Rattus norvegicus: one gene and its partners. The protein of the gene in region 1 binds, or shares a complex with, the protein of each later gene. Links are inferred from orthologs where the notes say so. Each region holds a gene or a part of one and is shown on either strand. Other genes may lie near its edges. The genes, in order: Pole3, Chrac1 and Pole4.

Region 1 (6,544 bases):
AAGAGGCAATGAATTTGAAAAAGAAGGGAGGGGTACATGAGAAGGGTATGGAGGAAGGAAAAGGAAGGGGAAATGATGTAATTATATTATGATCTCAAAAATGTTTTGATTAATTTTGTAAAAATTGTACACGCAGGCTGGAGAGATGGCTCAGCGGTTAAGAGCACTGACTGCTCTTCCAGAGGTCCTGAGTTCAGTCACCAGCAACCACATGGTGGCTCACAACCATCTGTAATGGGATCCAATGCTTTCTTCTGGTGTGTCTGAAGACAGCTACAGTGTACTCACATACATGAAATAAATCTTTAAAAATATATTTAAAAAACTGTAGACGCGGGTTGGGGATTTAGCTCAGTGGTAGAGCGCTTGCCTAGCAAGCACAAGGCCCTGGGTTCGGTCCCCAGCTCCGAAAAAAAGAAAAAAAAAAAAAGAAAAAAGAAAAAAACTGTAGACGTATCACCAACCCCTACATATGACATGTAACAAGTACCCAGTAAATATTACCAGGCTAGGGAGATGCCTTAGTAACTAAAGCATTTGGAGGGCAAAGCATGAGGCCCTGAGTTCAAATATCCAGAACCCACATAAAGCCAGGCACAGCGGACATCTGTGATCTCATTGCTCCTACTATAAAATAGAAAGCAGAGAATCCTCTGAAGCTTGTGGGCTAGCCTGCAATAAGATTCTGTAAACAGCCAAAAAGAGATCCTCTTTTAAGGTAGAAGGCAAAGAAAGACCAACTTCCAAAGTTGTCCTCTGACCTCCACATCAGCACCATGTGAATGTTCATGCTCACACATATCTATGTACACACACTATACATAGAGAGAGACAAGTAAATGAAATTATACTAAGCTATTATCAATCTCCCTTTTAAAGATGCTATGCAGTCACTACGACTACCTTATTGCTCCTAATATATAATTATATTTTATCCCTTTATTTGGTGGGCATGGGTGCCATGGTACACACAAGGAGGTTAACAGGAAGGCCATCCTGTAATGAACCCAGAGACTACACAGCTCACTGAGCCATCTCACCCTGTCCCCTTTTTAACTTTTTTTTTTTCCGGAGCTGGGGACCGAACCCAGGGCCTTGGTTGCTAGGCAAGCGCTCTACCTCTGAGCCAAATCCCCAACCCCCCCTTTTTAACTTTTAAGGACAGTGTCCTTTTCTTCTTCTATTTATACTTATTGACTGTCAAATATATGAGAGGACCTGTTTGGGACATAGAGAATAGCAATAAACAAACACTTGGTTCTAAACAGCTTCTAATTTAAATTAGAGATAGGGATCTAGTGGCCTGGGCTGCACCTGGCCTAGGAGTAATTTATCTTGGCAGGCACTTTTAGCCCATGTCTTAAAAACTGAAATGGTCCTATAATGTTAGATTTCTGGCTTTTCTCCTAGATCAAAATGCCTGACAGCACCAGTTCTAGCTAAATGGTGGCTGGAACTAAGGCTTATGACATCCTTAAGACAGGCCTGTTCTAAGTGCAGAATTCTCTCCATCAGAACAATCCCTTAGCATCATCACCCTAAAACTGTTGGATCGTTTTGTTTTGTTTCTCCAAATAGGAAAATGTTTCTTTGTAACGTCTCCATTAAAAATAGGAAAAAGTCTTGGAACATGTTTCAAGAAAAAAAAAAAGAAAGAAAAATTAAGAAGGAAATAAGCATTAGTTCTCAGGAGTATTTTTTTTTCTGTGCTTAATATGAAAATTATACAACTTAAAGCGACATTGTAAATGTTAACTCAAGTGATGATGATTTTGATAAGAAAAATGTAAGATGACTCACATAATGAATTAAAAAATACTTTAACACGGGTTTTTGAATGAGAATACAATGCATTATTCTTACAGTCAAATGCTTTTCGCCCTTTCATTACCGAACCAGTCCGAATTGAGCTGCGAAGTCTCATCAAGCTTTTGAGATTGCCCAGGTTACTGCTGTCCGAATAATAGCATTTTTTTAAACGAAATTTTAGATAAAAGTTATTCTTAATACAATTATCACAAAGTTGTGAAGGGAATGAAATTAAAGATGGACAATTCTAATGCATAATTCGGTGTAGTAGAATTGAATGAAAAGCTACACTGAGTTCCGGAAAAAAAGGGATGGGGAGGGCCACTCAAGTGTCCGTAGTCCGCGATTTCGCGGGATCAAAGCAGATTCCAAAGGGCTGTGTTCTGAGCCTCTGGGGGCGGACAATACTGAGATTGCGAAAGCACTCCCAAGTCTTGGCCCCGCCCACTTCTTCTAGAGGCCCCGCCCACTCGTCGGTCCCAGTCCTGCCTTGTCGGGCTCAGTCTACGCCTACCCCTTCCAAACTAAGCACCAGGCCGCACGGTTGCCTAGCAGCGGCGCACGGCACGATGGGAGAATAGACGGAAACCTCAGAGAGTCAAACTTAGTTTAGTCCGAAAGCTCCAGCGATGTGTAGTAAGAAACAAGCCTGGAGTGGAACGTCCAGGATGCGGTGGAAGCGGATGGAAACCTCAATGGTCCGAAACAACTGCGACATGGAAAAGCTGGGCTACCCTGGAGACTTGTGGCGGGGTTGATGTAGCAGAGAAGTTGTGGTGCGCAAAGCACTGTGGGACACTGGCAACGTAGGGTAGGACGGAAGCTTCCGAGGGTCATATCTTAGCGACGCGGGAAGTCCAGACACCAGAACTGTCTGCGAGGAGACCTGAGGAGGAGGGTAGGGCCCAAGCGGAGGCAATGGCGGAGAGGCCTGAGGACCTAAATCTGCCCAACGCCGTCATTACCAGGATCATCAAGGAGGCGGTGAGCTGCTCGGGCTGGAGAATGGGTCGAGGGCGGACGTGTGCCAGAAAGTTAACAGAATCCGCATGTGTGTTCATCTCCACTCTCCCTGCAGCTACCGGACGGTGTCAACATCTCCAAGGAGGCCCGAAGCGCCATCTCCCGCGCGGCCAGTGTTTTCGTTTTGTATGCCACATCCTGGTAAGCCGAGCAGAGGCGGAAGGGAGGCGCAGCGGGATCCTAACCCTGCGTTCGTGTCCTGGAACCCACAGGCCCCAGTTCCCTGCTTCACTAGAGAGCGACTCACAGCTCTCCTGCAGCCTCACAAATTCTGAGGCAGGTTAAACAAGACGGTTGTCGTAGCCCTTTGTACGGGGAAGGGATGAATTGAGCTGTGCCATACAAAAACCCATTCATCTAAGATAAATGTGGCTTTTCCCACCCCATCTCTGGCTGTCTCATGTCCCCACCACTTTGACAAGCTTCTGAAGGGCTTTGCTCTTTCTTCCAGTGCCAATAACTTTGCAATGAAAGGAAAGCGCAAGACTCTCAATGCCAGTGATGTACTGTCAGCCATGGAAGAGATGGAGTTCCAACGGTTCGTAACGCCATTGAAAGAAGCGCTAGAAGGTATCCATGTGCTCTTCTGCTTCTTAAACCACGTGAAAGATGTTCATCCTTTGTTCCCTGATCACCTGATTTCAATACTACTGCCATTAGGTCCCATTCACTGGTCCAGGACTGGTCATGATTCCACTCTGTTGAGTTGGTACCATTTCGAATATGTGATATGGGCCTGTTTATTCCTCTGGTGCCTCACTCGGTTTGTCTAATTAAACAATAATCCCCTGCTTCCTTACAGCATACAGGCGGGAGCAGAAAGGCAAGAAGGAAGCCTCAGAGCAAAAGAAGAAGGACAAAGACAAAAAAGATTGCGAAGAGCAGGACAAAAGCAGAGAGGAGGAGGATGAAGATGAAGAAAGACTGGATGAGGAAGAACAGAACGAAGAGGAGGAGGTAGACAACTGACTGGAGAGAGTGGGCAGACTCTGACACGGTGGAAGGGACCCTCAGATACTGAGATGTGTTTATGTGAAGCCTCTCCCTGCAAGGCAGAGCCATCTTCCGCAACGGTGCCTGAGATCAAAATAAAAACTGACCAGAAAGATCAAAGCTAGCTAGCTCTTCCCAAACTCAGAGCGTCTGAGTTACAGAAACCAGCTTTGCTTCATCAGTCTGCAGGTTATGCCTTATTAGTGTAAGGGATTCCGAATGACTACATAGTTTGGTATTGCTTGTTTACTTAAAGTGTATAGCTAGCTAGTTTTTGATCCTATTTCCCTGCTCCTCCAAAAAAGTAATAACATGTTTCTTGCTGCGTTCCAAGTTGCAGAGTTGCTAACCGGTCAGGGGGAAATGGGGCTTGGACCATGGTCACCCTGTTTGACTGTACAGTAATTGACAATAGATATTAATGCTCAGAATGGTTGCTCTTTAGGAAATGACTAAAAAGCTGTGAGAGAATAAGGAAATCTCCTCACTCGATGGTAGCATTGCTTGGCTTCTGGCTTTCTACACTTAGCTTTGTAGTCCTGTAGTGACTGTAGATGCCCAGTGCTCTGGTGTGGCTCCACTCCTAAGACATATACTCTTAAATTCTGAGTGTTGGTTAGAATCTGTCAAAAAAGGGTGCCAACTCCCCACCCCCACCCCCCCAGAGATGAGGATTGAACTCAGGGCCTTGCTAGGCAAGCGCTCAACCACTGAGCTAAATCCTCAACCCCAAGGGTGCCAATTCTTAAAAGCAGGTGGCTTAAACTTGGCGGTAACTCAGTGCCTGCCACTGTAGAACCTAGTGCCACCTCTTGGAAGGTATAAAATCCCAGATTGTCTCTTCTCTAGTCCACCTCTCAGATGATGGCTGCTGCTTTTTATCCCCTGAACTCATAGCAAGTTCCAGAGACTTTATCTCCTCCAGGCACAGCCTTTCTGTCTCCATCTCTCCCGCCTCTGCTTCCCAGCCCTGCTTTCTCCTCCTCTTATTCATTTCATCTTCTAGTCTAGGGACTCTGATAAAGTGCAAGGTCCTCAGATTGTTTCCTCATCTCCTGTCTTTTAAAGAGACTTGAGAAGCACCTCTGACCCTGAAGGTGAGAGAAACGGTGCTCAGGAATGTGGCACCACTGCTGCAGCTTTGAGCGTGCCTGTTGGCCTTTCTTTTCCCCATTTAGTGCTCCAAGCACTTTCTCTGTCTTAGTTGTGCACATGAGGCTGACAGGTAATGTAATATAGTTGAACACTGTTAACTAGTCAGGGAAATACAGGGAAGAGTTTGTTGAAAGTGACTGGAGACTGTTGAGAAGATTTTAATGCTTTCTACAAATAAATTCTTGTTTAAATGATGACCCACACAATGTACTTTTGGAAAGGACTCACCAAGACACCCCTCTTTTACCCCCTAACCTCAGCACACATACAGAGTCCTGTGTCTTCTTGGGTTACCAGCAGGTGAATAAGTAATCACAATTTAAGGGCACTGCTCTTCCTGAGATTCTCCTGGTTACTTTGTATATCTCACTAGCTCCCACTTCCTAAGCTCTTCCAGTGTCTAGCATTGTTCTAAGTGCTTTCAAGTATCAATTCCTATCCATAGATGTTGCCTCTATTAGCTCTCAACCACAGCTCTGTATCTCCAGTACACACAGTTCTCAAGTCATATTCACAAAGAACCCCAGTGGTCCTTTGGTTTATAGGCTTTTTCCTTCACAGCAGAAACATTGTTTAATTCCCATAAGCACAGTGCTAGACCTACTCAAGTCCCATTTATAATCCTGTGATTTCCTTTGAACTCAGTTTCAAATGTATAACTATATGCCAAGTAGATCTTCCTAGAATATACCTTTGCTTTCAGTGAGATCAAATCCATAGTTAAACCTGTTATTCAAGGCTTGTGTAAGAAGGGCTTACCCTACCATCTAATCTCCACTCTAAGGCTGTCAAGAATTGGAAGGGGCTCAGTCACAGAGCACTTGCCTAGCATGTTCAAACAAAACAAAAACCAAACTCTTCCATGTCTCGGGTTTGTCCTGCCCAATCGCTTAACTATAACATTCTAAGAGAAACCTTTTCTGGGAATGGAGGTTTGGATTTAAAAGTAAAGAATTCAACATCTGGAAAGACTCTGAGGTCATCCATCAGTTTTTTCTCAATCACACCTACATCATCTCATAATGGCATCTGGATTCTGAAGGTTTTCCATCAGACTTTCTCATCTCTTTAAACAATGAACAGAGACTAACCTGGATCTGGGCCATGGAAGAGCTCTTGTTCTAATCCATTCGAAACTACTTGGAGGCTATGAAGAGATGGCTCAGCAGTTAAAAGCAATGACTGCTCTCCCAGGGGACCAGGGTTTGGTTCCCAGCACCCACATGGCAGCTCACAACTTCTATAGCTACATGCCCTTTTCTGCCCTCCTGTCACTGCAGGAGGTTGGTACAGAGCCATGCATGCAGGCAAACACATCTGTACACATAAAGACAAATCCTTTAAAATTGTTTTGTGCCCTAGCCCCCTACTTTTACCTATGGGAAGTTAACACTGTTTAAAGAGAAAGTCCGCAAGGTATTAGAGCTAATCTATGATCACTGAGATGATCCAGTGGGCTTTGGCCTTCTGTTTGTGTTTTAGTAAATGTTGTAAACGGTTAGGATAACTTTAGATTTACAGAAAAATTACAAGGAATGTGGTTCTTATACCCTTCACCCAACTT
Region 2 (6,300 bases), on another chromosome or scaffold:
TGTCAGTTTGATTCAAGCAAGAGAAGGAGCCTCAGTTGATGAACTTCTTCTTCCATGAGATCCAGAGGTAAGCCATTTTCTCAATTAGTGATCAGTGGGGCAGGGCCAAGCCCAATGTGGTTTGTGGCTCTAGGTTCTCTTAGAAAACAGACTGAGCAAGCCAGTAAGAAGCATATACATAGATACACATGTGGCCTCTGCGTCAGCTCCTGCCTCCAGTTTACTGCCCTGTTTGAGTTCCTGTCCTGACTTGGTTTGGTGATGAACATTGATGTGGGAGTGCAAACTGAGTAAACCTCTTTCTCCCCAACTTGCTTTTTGGTCATGGTGTCTCATCACAGCTATAGGAACTCTTAAGACACACTGAGGACGGCTGCTTCAACTGCATGTGATTGATGGATGAGCCGGGGCTCTTCTCAGGAGATGAGGCAGCTACTTATTGTTGCTGCTGTTTGCTGTGGTGCTGAGAGCAGTCCCAGGGTCATGTGCGTACTAAGCACATATTCTACCTGCATCGCATCCCAGCCAGATGCTCGCCGTGAAATGTCAAAGAACTGAAAACCACTTCAATAAAGCATGTTACTGTAAAATACATACAGACCTTTAATGGAAAAAGAAGAGCAAATCTCCATACAATAAAACTGCATAGTCCATTTTTAAAAAGAAAATCAAAGGCAGCACAGTATGCATGCAGCTGTTTGTGAGAACAGAGTGTCTGTCCACAAGACTATGCAGCTGACATGGAGCTTCCTGGGTCTTCCTGCAAGTTCAGTGTGATCAGTGGTATGTGCTGCTGTACCCAAAGCCAGAGCAGTGCCATCTGCCCAGGACTCTCCTAGTGGGAGACGAGGTGACTGAAGGGCCTGTGGAGGAGGCTGCTGTCTAGTCCTTCCCACTGAAAGAGCGAATGCAACAAGTTGCAAGTCTGAGACAACGCTGCAGTCCCTCCACTTCGCAGCTGCTAGTGTGTCCTTGTGTGTGCTCACGGGACTCGCTGAGAGCTCTTCTTGCTGGCCTAAGCCGGCACTTCACCAAGGTCGCTACCATCGTCATCATCGTCCTCTTCCTCCCTCTTCTCTTTGAGCATTTTCAGGTACTTACTAGCTAAAATCTTCTTTGGTAATATATCTTAAAAGTGGAAAAACGGTGTCAATAATTGGTTATGGTAAACTATGACTACAATGATTCAAGTTTTACAATGTATTATTTCCACCTTTAACCCTAGACAACCTTCTAAACAAGATGAAATCCAGGTGTGCTTCTAGGTGAAGAATAACAGAAATGGGCATTGTTTCCTGGGCATTCCACACTGGTAAACATGTTTCTATGGCCTGATTTTGTGAACACTGTTCAAGCTAGCTGAGAGGCTAAACTGGCCCCTGGGCTAGACTGAAGCTCTTTCTAGTCAGAGTCTGACCCATGGCTGCATGCACCCGCTGCTTTGTTTGGCGTGCAGGGGAACAGGACAAGCAGCCAGCTCTCAGTGAGTCTGCTTGGCCATGGATGCACCTTCTGTGTACTGTTGGCTTCTTGGTGGGCTCAAATGGAGGCTGGTAACAACTCCCTGTGCCAGATCAGATAAACCGAGGCACCGAGCAGAACAATAGAGGGGAGAATAGCCCACTACAAGGGTTCTTTGTTTTTTAACCAGAATGTCCCAAAGATTAAGTACCTGCGAGAAACTGAAGTGTCTCTGAATCCTCGGCAGCGCTGGCTAAGTCACTGTATGTCAGCGCTTTCTTGGCTTTGCCACTGCCGTGTCTGTAGGAACAGGTGGCTAGATACTGAACAAAGAGCTCCTAAACCAACAAGAAATCACACAGTTTACAACCTTAAAATTCCATTAATACTTCACATTATCTTGGTTCCTCAATTAAATGACAGGGAATTAATTTACAGGAGACAGAAACATGAAATCAGAAAGGAAGCAAGAGTGTCAGTCAGGAAGCAGCAGGCATTTCCCAGCTGAGCTGAAGTGTATAATATAAATATTTACAAATGACTGTAAAAATATGAAAAATATTTTACAAGTGGTTTTGGGGGGTGCTGTGGTATATACTTATCAGCATTTAGGCAGAGGTAGGAGGCACAGGAAATCAAAGGCAGCTCTGGCTATATATCAAGTTCAAGGCCAGCCTGGGCTACACGAGCTGTTGTCTGAAAAGGATGGGGGAGGGGTTATAAGGAGGTGTTACCAGCCTACACAAAACGGAGTAAAAGACCATTCAAAAACGTTATCTGAGCATGGTGGCACATACCTTTAATCCCAGCACTTGAGGGGCAGTGGCAGACCTATCTCTGTGTTCAAGGCTAACCTAGTCTACAGAGTGCCAGGACACTCAGAGCTACACAGAGAAACCATGTCTCCATAAAAGGAAAACCAACCAACCAAATTATATCTGGCTTGCAAAGGATTTTATTACAGATGTGAGCTGCCACCTATCTGTCTTAGGAACACATTTTCAGCCTACTTGAATCCCTTGTCAGTTGTTCACTCACAACTATAATAAAAACCAACAACCTCAGGCTGAAAGGTGACATCTCATTTTGCCCAAGTACCTTCTAGGTGTGGAACTAACGAGATCCCAATGCTCAGAAAGTAAAACTGAGCCTTCCCCAAGGTTTAGTATTATTTCAGCTAATAAGTGATCAGAGAACTGTCTGCATAGTGCTTAGGTCCTAACACTAGAATCCTACAAAAGAATGTGAATCCCAGCACCACACAAATAATCCTGATCCCATGATCCTGAGATGACTTAGAAATGAGACATGTACAGTTTACGTGTAAATATGCACCACTGTCTAAAAGGGGCTGTTATCCTAACATTGTATTTGGCTTTGGAGGACCAATGCAAGGAAACTGGGGAACTGTATTTTGTCAGGCTCTAACTTAAGGTTGACAGTTGTAGTCACAAGATTTGTATTTCTTTTGTAGTATTTTACAATATTACAATTTTACAATATTATAAAATATTGTAAAAGATACTACGCACTGATGTTCTAGAAGCAGAGACTGGAAAAGAATGTAGAGACAGTAATCATGTCGGGTCTCAGAACAGTAAGGTTCTCGGTCTACCACAAACAAGACCAAACTTTAAACCAGGAGTGGTGTCAGGAAATTCTCATCCCAGTACTCAGAAGGGCCAAGACCAGGGTAGCAGAGTATGGTTCCAGCAGCACTTGGTAGGCTGAGGCAAGCAGATTGAGTTTGAGGTAATCCTGGCCTACAGGGTTCCAAGGTAAGGAGAAATACTGAGAGCTGACTTGAAATATAAAAATAAGGAAACAAAGTGATGTGTTTGGAGGGGGGTGTGCAGTTATAATTTGTCTCTAGAGTCTAACTTGTGACCAGCGGTTGTCTGCTTAAAACCTGACTACCTCCAGAGTCCTGAGGGCTGAAGAGCCCTAGACATCCTTGCAAGCTGTCCTGGATGCTTCGAGAACCCTCGCATCACTCTGCGGGAAGTCAGCGACAGAAAAGAAGTAGACAGTACGCCCTCCTCACTGGTCAACTCGCGCAGCCGCACTTAGCTCCTCACGCGTGCGAAGCAGGGCGGGAGTGACGCGGTAGGCGGAACGCAGAGAACGCTGGGAGCGAAGTGATGCAGAGCAAAAGCAGCGCAAAGGACAGCGGGAGCGGCGCAGTGGGCGGAGCTAAGACCACGGGAGAGTGGGTGTGTAATGCGCAGGCGCAGGGAGAGACCAAGACTCCCGGCTCCCGCAGGGCAACCAAAGGCTAGGAGTGTGCGGAGCCCAAGGGGCGGTTGGTGCCCGTGCCCGCCCCTCTCGTCGCCCCGCTGGCCGCTCACCGTGGCCTTGGCCGTGAGCACTAGTGCCTCCTGGTTGATGCTCGACACCTCAGGAGAGCTCTTCATGATGACTCGGATGCGGGACAGGGGCAGCGACACGAGCCGCTGTTCCCCGCACTTGTCCTTACCCACGACCGAGTCCGCCATCTTCCGCGTCCGGGCGGCCCGTGATGCCCCGCGCGGCCGCGCCTGCGCAGACTCCGTGTAGCGCGGTGGCCTGAAAGCCTGGGAGACAGCGCCCAGGAAAAACCCCTCGGAAACGCTGCGGCAATCTCCCGGAAGAAGCGCTTTCAAGCGTCTTAGTACTTCGGGAAGACCCGAGCTGCACAGACCTGCCCTTTCAAAAGCTGAAAAAAATAAAAGAAATGTCTTATGAGGTCATGTTCTGGAGGGAGCCAGCAAGCATGAGCCACACTCTTATTGTCAAACAGTTTGGCCAGGGGAATAGGGAGAAAAGGCAACCCTACCCATGTCTTGAAGCTTATGGGGATTAACCTCTTAAGCAGGCAGGTGAACTAAATGGTCCTTGAGTCTTCTGTAGTCCCACCACAAAACCAAAAGAATCACCAAGAGTTCTAGGCCAGTTTAGCCCCACAAGCTCTTGTTGAAGAAGATGGACCGTGTCTTAAGGAATAGAATGCAGAGACAAGGTAGAATGAAGACGATTAGAAACATCCTATCAAGTAGTGGTCCAGAGGGCAGTGTCGAAGAATATCAGAAAGTGGGACACCATGGCAGATGACACTACCAGACTGAAATTCTACCTACATGAAATTCGTGGAGTGAACTTGGGAAAATAAAGTTAATGCAGTCTGAAGAGGTCAAAAACTCGTAAATTGGCACTAAATATAGTTGGAGGCTGGCAGAATGTTAGAGGTTGGATCACATTTGGTTTCAGCTTTCTTTACCATAGTGTATCCTAGTCCAATAATAAAATACAACTGTCCCCCGGTATCTATGGGGGATTGGTTCTAAGATCCCCACACATACTGAAATTGTACATGCTTAAGTGTTTTAAATGCATAAGGTAGCTGCATAGAGCCTAGGCACATTCTCATATAAGGCCTACATCTGGGTACCCTTGATAAGTACTTTGTGAATGCCATCTGAATAGTTGCTGGACTGTTAGGGAACAGTGATAAGAGATTTCTACATGTCCAATCAGCAGGGACGATTTCTCTTCCTGGATACTTTGTATCTCAGGTTGGTTAAGACCATAGATGTAGAACGCATGCTCAGTGTTAGTGTCAGGCTTAAAGAGGCACAGTCAGTGAGCAAGGTAGCCATGCTGCCTGCCTTCAAGACTATGTTCACCCAGATGTACTGAGAAAGAATATCATTTCCAATGGGAAGTGTCATCCTGTGTGATAGGCTGGCCTCTGAAAAGTGGTATTTGTTCTCAGATCTGAAGCAAAGGAAAGCCACTAGAACAAGATGAGTTTTGTCTGTCTCTTACTTGCTACCTGTCACACAAGTGAGGCAGACAAGAAAAGGTCTGTTTTAGGAAGCTGGGGTGCCACTAACCCCACTCCCTCCCCAGCATGAGTGGGAGGGTTGGCACACAGACACACACCCATCTGAACACTGGAATGCTTCTCTTCCACTGATGGTATCAAACTTTGATTCCGTTTGGTTGTGTTCTAGTAATGTTAATGTTAATGTAAATTTAATGTTAATGTAAACGTTAATGTAAAGTTAAGCCTTGGTTCTTCCTCCTAGCCCCATGCTCCCAGAAATAACACTCAGACTCATAATATACCTTGACTCAGACAACAAATACCTTGACCATATAGCTAGGCTCTTCTCTAACTAGATATAACTTAAAACATCCCATTTATTCTGCCTGTGGCTGGCTACCTGTGCTCAGGTATCATTCATCTCATCATATCTTCCCCGCGAAATCTCCCACCTGGCTCTCTTCCAGAATCCTTTCTCTCTGTCAGATGTCCTACCTCTATTTCCCACCTAAACCATAGGCCATACATTTTTTTAATTGGCAGGTGATACATCCATACTATATGCAAGATATTCTCTCTGCAGACAAGTAACTAGGATACTAGGTTCTAGATTCTGTCAGGTTGACAATCTTAACCATCATAGGGGCTAACTTCCCTGCATTGTGAAGAGCCCAGAGAGAGTTCAGTCTTCTCACTCCCAAGAAGTGTTTGCCCATTAATTTCTGACCCTCCAAATGACTCACCTAAGCACTGGCTACACTTGGGAGCTTCTGACAGCCTAGTTATGTCACCAAGAGCAGCACATGTGACTGCAGTGAGAAAGGAGGAGGATACGTGGTTACCTGCTTTGCTAGAAGATGCTGGCATTGGGTGGTCCTGCAGAGGGCCCAGTTAGGGATAGCAACTAAGTAGACACTCAGAGTGGGAGCAGTTGGCTCTTGGCTCCAGGCCAAGGGCAAAGCAGCTGCCTTTACCTCCAGGCAGCATCTTCACTCCTGAGTGGTGTCCCACCTTCCTCTTGATCTTATTTCTCC
Region 3 (6,423 bases), on another chromosome or scaffold:
TCTACAACACAGAACAAAGCTCCACTAGCAGCTGGCCAATTCCAACAACAACAAAGAAATAATCAACATCTCACTGAGTATGTTTATAAACAGAGCAAAGAATCCTTGAGCCTGATGCAGATCGGGGTGCAAGAGAAGAGAAGCTATCTCCCACCCCAGGAGAACCAGCAGAAAGCACAAGACTAGTGGTTCTCAACCTGTGGGTCATCACCCCTTTAGCAAACCTCATTTCTAAAAGTATTTACATTACAATTCATAACAGTAGCAAAGTTACAGTTATGAAGTAGCAATGAAATAATCTTATAATCTGGGTCACCACAGCATGAGGAGCTGTATTATTAAAGGGTCGCAGCATTCGGAAGGTTGAGAACCACTGTTCCAGTTAACTGCATTGACAGAAAAAGAAGTGAAAGGAAAGGAGCTAATGATCCACAGGACACAGGCTTCCCTCTCTCATGCCTCTTACAACCTTGCCTCCACGCAGCAGCCACAGATTTAAACATACATGAAGGAGAGGAAAAAAAAAATCGCAGGACTTTGCTCAAAGAACCAAGTGGCCTATCTTGGAAAACCAGAGCAGCCTCTGGCAGTCAGACTCCCAGGAAGCATCCTGCATTTTGGCCTGTGGGGCCTCAGCAGGGCATCTGCTCCTCTTTACCCAGAAGCTGCAAAGCAACAACCATCACTTTACAGACACTCAGCTTCCAAAGCAGCCTCATGTTATGTTCACACAGAAGGAAAAGCACTGTACTGAAGGAAACTTCGTAGTAAAAGGAGAGGCCAAAGTTATTTCTTAATTCGATTAATAAAGTTTACATCAGGGTGATAAACATTAGAAAAACCAAACCAATAGTACTTGTAACTAAAAAATAGTAACTTTCTTTGGGGTGTTCTGTTGTTGATTAAGGCAATATTGTCACTAGCCAAAGTGGGCTGGAGCCCCCTTTGTAGCACAGACTGGCCTTAAACTTAAAATCCTGCTGCCTCAGTCTCCCAAGGACTGGCATTCACAAGCATGAACTCGTGGAAACTTCCGCTTTTGACGATGGCTGGTCTGTGTTTAGAGCAACGAATAAAGCTAAACATATTTTAAAAATAAAATTTCTCAATAATTGAAAATCATATTAAGAGTTAAATCTACAACTTAGAGAGAGCAAAGTCACTAAGTAAGGTCAACCTCGAACGCTATTGTGGCCCTGAAGGCATGTGTCAATGTGAGAGAGCTGAGAAGGGCTGTGTGCCAGGCTGAGGGAGGGAAGAACCAAACCTCAGTCTGTCCAAATGGGAAGGTCTAATAACCTCCTTTTAAAATCACTAGAAATAACAATAATCAACCTATAAATTAAACACCATGGGCTGTCACAAACAACATAGTATTATTAAACTTTTACATACCTAACCATATGGTCTTACAAAATAAACAGAATCAATAATTTAAGTGAAAATAATCTGCAGCTGTGGTAGGAGAATTTAACAGGCAATTCTTACTCAGCAACTGGTAAAACAAGTAAGCAAAACAGAATAGAGTGCTTTCTCTTCCAGCATATACAGAGCCCCCCCCCCCCCCAAGAATGACCATATACTGGGCCATAAAGCAAGTTGGGCAACTAATTCAAGTTATTTTTAAGACAAATAGGTGGAAAAACAAAGATCTACAACTTAAAAGAATACTCAAGTCTAGACTTGAAGCAGACATTGGGGAGATATCTTAAAACGTGTTCGAAGAGAACATCTAAAGAGTGCCATTGGCATAGGCTGACACAGAGAAGCAGAATAAAGAGAGAAGAAAAGATCTCAGAGCCAGGCGAGAAAGTATATGCCTACTTATGTATTTATTTACTTATTATTATTGTTATTACTAGCATTTGGGGAGGTGAGGAAGACAGAAAAGGAATTCCAGGTCATTCTCAGTTATACAGTGAAATTTCAAGACCAGCCTGAGATACATGAGAACATGTCTTTAAAGTCAGGAACTGAGGGTGAAGAGATGACTCTGATTTAGTGCTTGCTGCTCTGAGGGCAGTTGTAGCATACGCCTTAAATCCCAGGACTTGGAAGGCAGAGGCAGGTGGATCTTGGATCTCTGGGAATTCAAGGCCAGCCTGGTCTACAGAGTGAATTCCAGGACAGCCAGGGCTACACAGAGAAACCCTTGTCTCAAACAAAGCAAAAGCAAAACAAAAAAGTGCTTGCTGTTCTTCCAGAAGACCTCTTCACGGCACCCAGGTTTAGCACCTCACACTGCTCTTCTGGCTCCTAAGGGAACCTTCATATATTTGGCATGTATAAGCACACATACACATAAGTAAAAATGAATGTTTAAAGAATTATGAATTGTGTCTTATTCTAAACAGTATAAGGGAGCAATATTGATATTTAGGGACAGAGATTTAAATAGGATTCAAAATCTAAATCCAACTCTATTGGTATTTTTTTTATACTCCCTCCTTCTTTTACGCTTGCAATTTCACTGTAGAATTTCTAATTCCCACAAATGGAAAATGTTCCTCTTTTCTATCAAAATGGGAAGAATCAATTCCATTGTGTACAAAGAACCACACATCTGTTTTTATAAGGTTTTATGAGATTCGAAGTTCACATCATCGACAGAGAAAGCAGTCTGTGCTGACAGTGAACTCACCTTCTAGAAAAGCGAATTCATCCACAGCTTCTATGGCATTATCTGAAATACAAGGTAAAGGGATATTTGATTAGCTCTAGTCATTTGGACATCAGACACAAAACAGTACAATCCACATAATAACAAACATGGAGTTTTATGCAAATGACATCATTTATAAACAATCTCCCTGATGTCCTAATTTTTACACTATAAATTCTTTCAACTGTCTCGGCACAAAAGCCCACGAAAATGCTGTTCGGTAAGGCCTCCTACAATCCTGTCTCGTTCCTAAATCCACTTTTCTCTCTAAAGATACTAGAAGAAGAGTTTGGCAGCATAAGAGGGAATGAGAGATACAGTCTTTAAAGTCTAACACACGTGCAAGGGTTACCAGCTAGACAAATAAATAAAAACCTTGCTTCAGTGATGCCTTGTGAACCAGCTCTAAGAAAGCCCAGCCCATAGCTCCCCTGTCCACCCTGAGGTACCACAGTGACTCTACCCAAATCTCTCCTCTGAAGAGTTTTCCTCTTTCCTTGTTGAGCACAGCAGTAGGCATCTTTTGCAATAGTCTCCACAAACAGCTCCTGCAAAACAAGCAGAGCAGATTAGTGGATTATAGCCCACTGAGTGAGCAAACCTGTGTATATGTGGGCAAGAAGGGTAAAAGGGGGCTCTACCACACAGGAAAGTTCTAGAAGTTAAGATTGTACTAAAATTCACAAAAACACTTCTGCTATCCCCTTCCCTATCTTCAGTCACCCTGCTCTAATATTTATAAATATTCACTAGGGCCCCCTTCAAATTCTGTGTGAGCCCCGGAGGGTGCAAACTAAAGTTGCCTGAGCCCCCTGAAGTGGAGTGATTAACAAACTCAAATGGGGCCTACAGAGGCCTTCCTAGGTCTCAGGCAGGTCAGCATACCAGGGCCTGCCACACCCCGAGCCACGCCCCCTAAAAACCACGCCCCCTTCCCCGACCCAGTCGCCCTTGCTTTCCCGCCGCACCGCGGCACGCGCCAGGATAAAGATGGCTTCCTGTCCCGCCAGCGTTACGTCAGGGTCTGCCTTCACCAAGGCCTTTACTCTCGCCAGAGGCAGCCTCGAAAGGCGAGCCCCACCGGGTGCATTCGTCGGGGCTTGGGCCTGCGAAGCTGCTGCCTCCCCTCCGGGAGCCTCCTCCTCTCTGGGCGTCCCGCTCCCAGCGGTCGCCGCTGCCGCCATCCCCTCCCTAAACGTGCTGCGCGCGATCGCTGTCTGAGCGCGCACACGAGATTCCGGCCCCTTTCCCGCGCCGGTTAGAGACCACGCCTCTCTGTGGGGGCGTGGCCCCTCCCTTACAAGGCGGGGCGCGCCAGAAACGCCCCCCTCCGGCTCCGGCTTCTGATGTTGCCTTCCGGGGGAGAGCCTGGAAGCGGCCGGGCGTGGCCTAGCTGAGCCGGAAGTCCGGATGCTTCGCCAGAGCCTGTGTAGGTTCTCAGGGTCTAACTTCAAGGTTCACTTAAGGGGGACCCATGGGTGTCCTCACAATGCGGTGCCGCGCAGCGCCAGGCCATCTCCGGGGATCACGTCTTAACTGGAATGGGACTTTTGACGGGCAGAATTGGAAGTGCAGTCCAAGAAAGGCGTGCGGACATAGAGAGCAAGTTGTGGTGTCTGGTCGTTCAAACGTAGGTTGCATCAGAACACTGATGGCCTTACTCAAAAAAACAATCAAAAAGTGTGTTTCTGTAGGAAATATCAACATTAATTGCACATTTTTACGTTTTAAAATTTTGGTATGTGGAGTTAGCAAAACATTGTCATGACAAGTAAGTTAAAAAAATTTGATAAGAAAAAATTGTCTCCCTTAGAAAAAGATTGGATCAGGGCTGGGGATTTAGCTCAGTGGTAGAGCGCTTACCTAGGAAGCGCAAGGCCCTGGGTTCTGTCCCCAGCTCCGAAAAAAAGAACCAAAAAAAAAAAAAAAGAAAGAAAAAGATTGGATCATCTAGCTGCTTCTGAACATTATTACTATCCGGTTTTGCTTAGTTATGGAAAATTCCACTACACCTTCTTGAGAGAATGAGAATGACTTCTGGGTATTAAGATAACTTTGACCGGGTGTGGTGGTGCACACCTTTAATATAAGCACTGGAGTAGCAGAAACCAGCCTAATCTACAGAGGGAGTTCCCAAGCCAGCTAGAACTACATAGTAAGACCCTATCTTTAAAATAGAAAATCGCTTTGATCTCACAGGCCTCTGGAAAGGTTCTCCAAGAAGCCTCTCTTCACCTCCTCCTTCCCTATGAGTTCTCATACCACACCGGAGATCTGGCATGGAGGAGTGGCAAATATTTGCAATAGGCAAAAGAGATGACTCAGTCAAGTGCTGCACATCAAGGACCTGAGTTCAAATCGCCAGAACACAGTAAAAGGCAAGTGCGACATAACTCCTGTAATCTCTGCAGTAAGAGTAGTAGGATGGCTGAAACTCCTTGGCCAGCTAAGCTAGCCTAACCAAATCAGCGAGATGGTGGACCCTGGGCCTTTATACTAACAAATGCACCCAACACACATCAAAGTTTTAATATAAGGCATAATAAAAACACTGTGTAGCTAGTTGATTGCTTTATATAAATATTAATGTTTAGTCATAATACCTGTACTATTGAGGCAGGTAAGTAATTTTATTTACAGCTATGACTGAGCCACAGACTGTTCAATAGTATACCTGTGGAATATGGGCTCATTGCATTGGATAATAACCTGAAATCATTCACTTTCAAATTTAAGCAATAAACTTTGACTGGATCTATACACAGAGGCCCCACTAAAACAAAATGAGTCTTCGCCAGAATTAAAAGCTTCAGGGGAAGAGAGATGAATTACATTGTACCAGAGTTTTCCTTAGGACCTTTGCCTTGAGTTCCTTCTACTTTGTATTTAATAAAAAGAGAAACAAAACATACCAAGAAACTTTATTCTCATTGGTTGATTGTTCATAGAAACTGACTACATGGATTTCCAGTCTTTTCACCCCAACTTTGAAATGCTACAAATCCAATGTAACAGACAAGGATCTCTGCAGCTGGTCTCTTTCCATCCTCTGCCATTTTGTAACATCTCCAGGTCCTCTCTATGTCTGGATCAGGTAAACTGTGTCTCTAGTTCTTTTGTTCTGCCCCAAAGCTTTTCTCCACTTCAGATCCCAGGTTCTCTGATAGTTCTACAGATGAAGTTAAATCAGTCATACCACTGCATACAGTCCTTCAGAGTGCTGGTCCCAGTAGCAGCACCAAGCCTCTCCCTGTGCCATTTTTCTTTCTTTTCCTCTTTTTTTTTTTTTTAAATCAGTATTTGACTCTTCTAGCCCCACCTTCCCCAGATTGAAAACTCCTGAAGGAAGGTGTTTCTGTCTGGTTTTGTTCATTGAGTCTTGAGACTATGATAAAGTACCTGACACCTAGGTTTTCAGTATTTACAGAGTCAATGGATCATTAGCAATAGCTCATCTGAAATTGATATCGCCTCAGAAGGATGTCATCTAAGGGCAGAAGTCATTGTTTGAAAATGCCTGCTAAGGGTCTCTAGTCATTCCTGCATTCACTATCTTGGAAAATCAATATTTTTCCTTATGTTATGAGACTGTAGCCCAGGCTAGGCTAGAACTGGTGACAGTCCTCCTGCCTCAGCTTCCCAAGTGATGGAGTTATAGCCCAAGCCTTCGCATTCAGCTTTAAGCAATCAACTTGACATTTGCTCATATACTTTGTTTCACAGAAAGCAAATAAATGTCATAACTTTAAAAACCTAAAAAT

The links.
Region 2: Pole3 (region 1) and Chrac1 share a complex: the UniProt entries of both Homo sapiens proteins name them as parts of the CHRAC ISWI chromatin remodeling complex. The link is inferred for Rattus norvegicus from reciprocal best matches to the Homo sapiens genes POLE3 and CHRAC1.
Region 3: Pole3 (region 1) and Pole4 share a complex: the UniProt entries of both Homo sapiens proteins name them as parts of the DNA polymerase epsilon complex. The link is inferred for Rattus norvegicus from reciprocal best matches to the Homo sapiens genes POLE3 and POLE4.

The regions. Positions count from the first base shown.
Region 1 is NC_086023.1:80,988,913-80,995,456, reverse strand, and holds Pole3 (DNA polymerase epsilon subunit 3), read left to right. Parts: upstream 1-2,714; 5' UTR 2,715-2,727; coding exon 2,728-2,793; intron 2,794-2,887; coding exon 2,888-2,973; intron 2,974-3,283; coding exon 3,284-3,402; intron 3,403-3,634; coding exon 3,635-3,801; 3' UTR 3,802-5,949; downstream 5,950-6,544. Other genes in the region: C5h9orf43 (uncharacterized protein C9orf43 homolog), read right to left, coding at 1,864-1,924. UniProt on the Homo sapiens protein: Accessory component of the DNA polymerase epsilon complex. Participates in DNA repair and in chromosomal DNA replication.
Region 2 is NC_086025.1:106,899,721-106,906,020, reverse strand, and holds Chrac1 (chromatin accessibility complex protein 1), read right to left. Parts: upstream 3,969-6,300; 5' UTR 3,957-3,968; coding exon 3,810-3,956; exon of another isoform or gene 3,379-3,809; intron 1,800-3,378; coding exon 1,673-1,799; intron 1,129-1,672; coding exon 1,016-1,128; 3' UTR 580-1,015; downstream 1-579. UniProt on the Homo sapiens protein: Forms a complex with DNA polymerase epsilon subunit POLE3 and binds naked DNA, which is then incorporated into chromatin, aided by the nucleosome remodeling activity of ISWI/SNF2H and ACF1.
Region 3 is NC_086022.1:116,724,945-116,731,367, forward strand, and holds the start of Pole4 (DNA polymerase epsilon subunit 4), read right to left. Parts: upstream 3,908-6,423; 5' UTR 3,847-3,907; coding exon 3,631-3,846; intron 3,211-3,630; coding exon 3,126-3,210; intron 2,684-3,125; coding exon 2,642-2,683; coding exon of another isoform or gene 2,601-2,641; exon of another isoform or gene 2,567-2,600; intron 1-2,566. UniProt on the Homo sapiens protein: Accessory component of the DNA polymerase epsilon complex. Participates in DNA repair and in chromosomal DNA replication.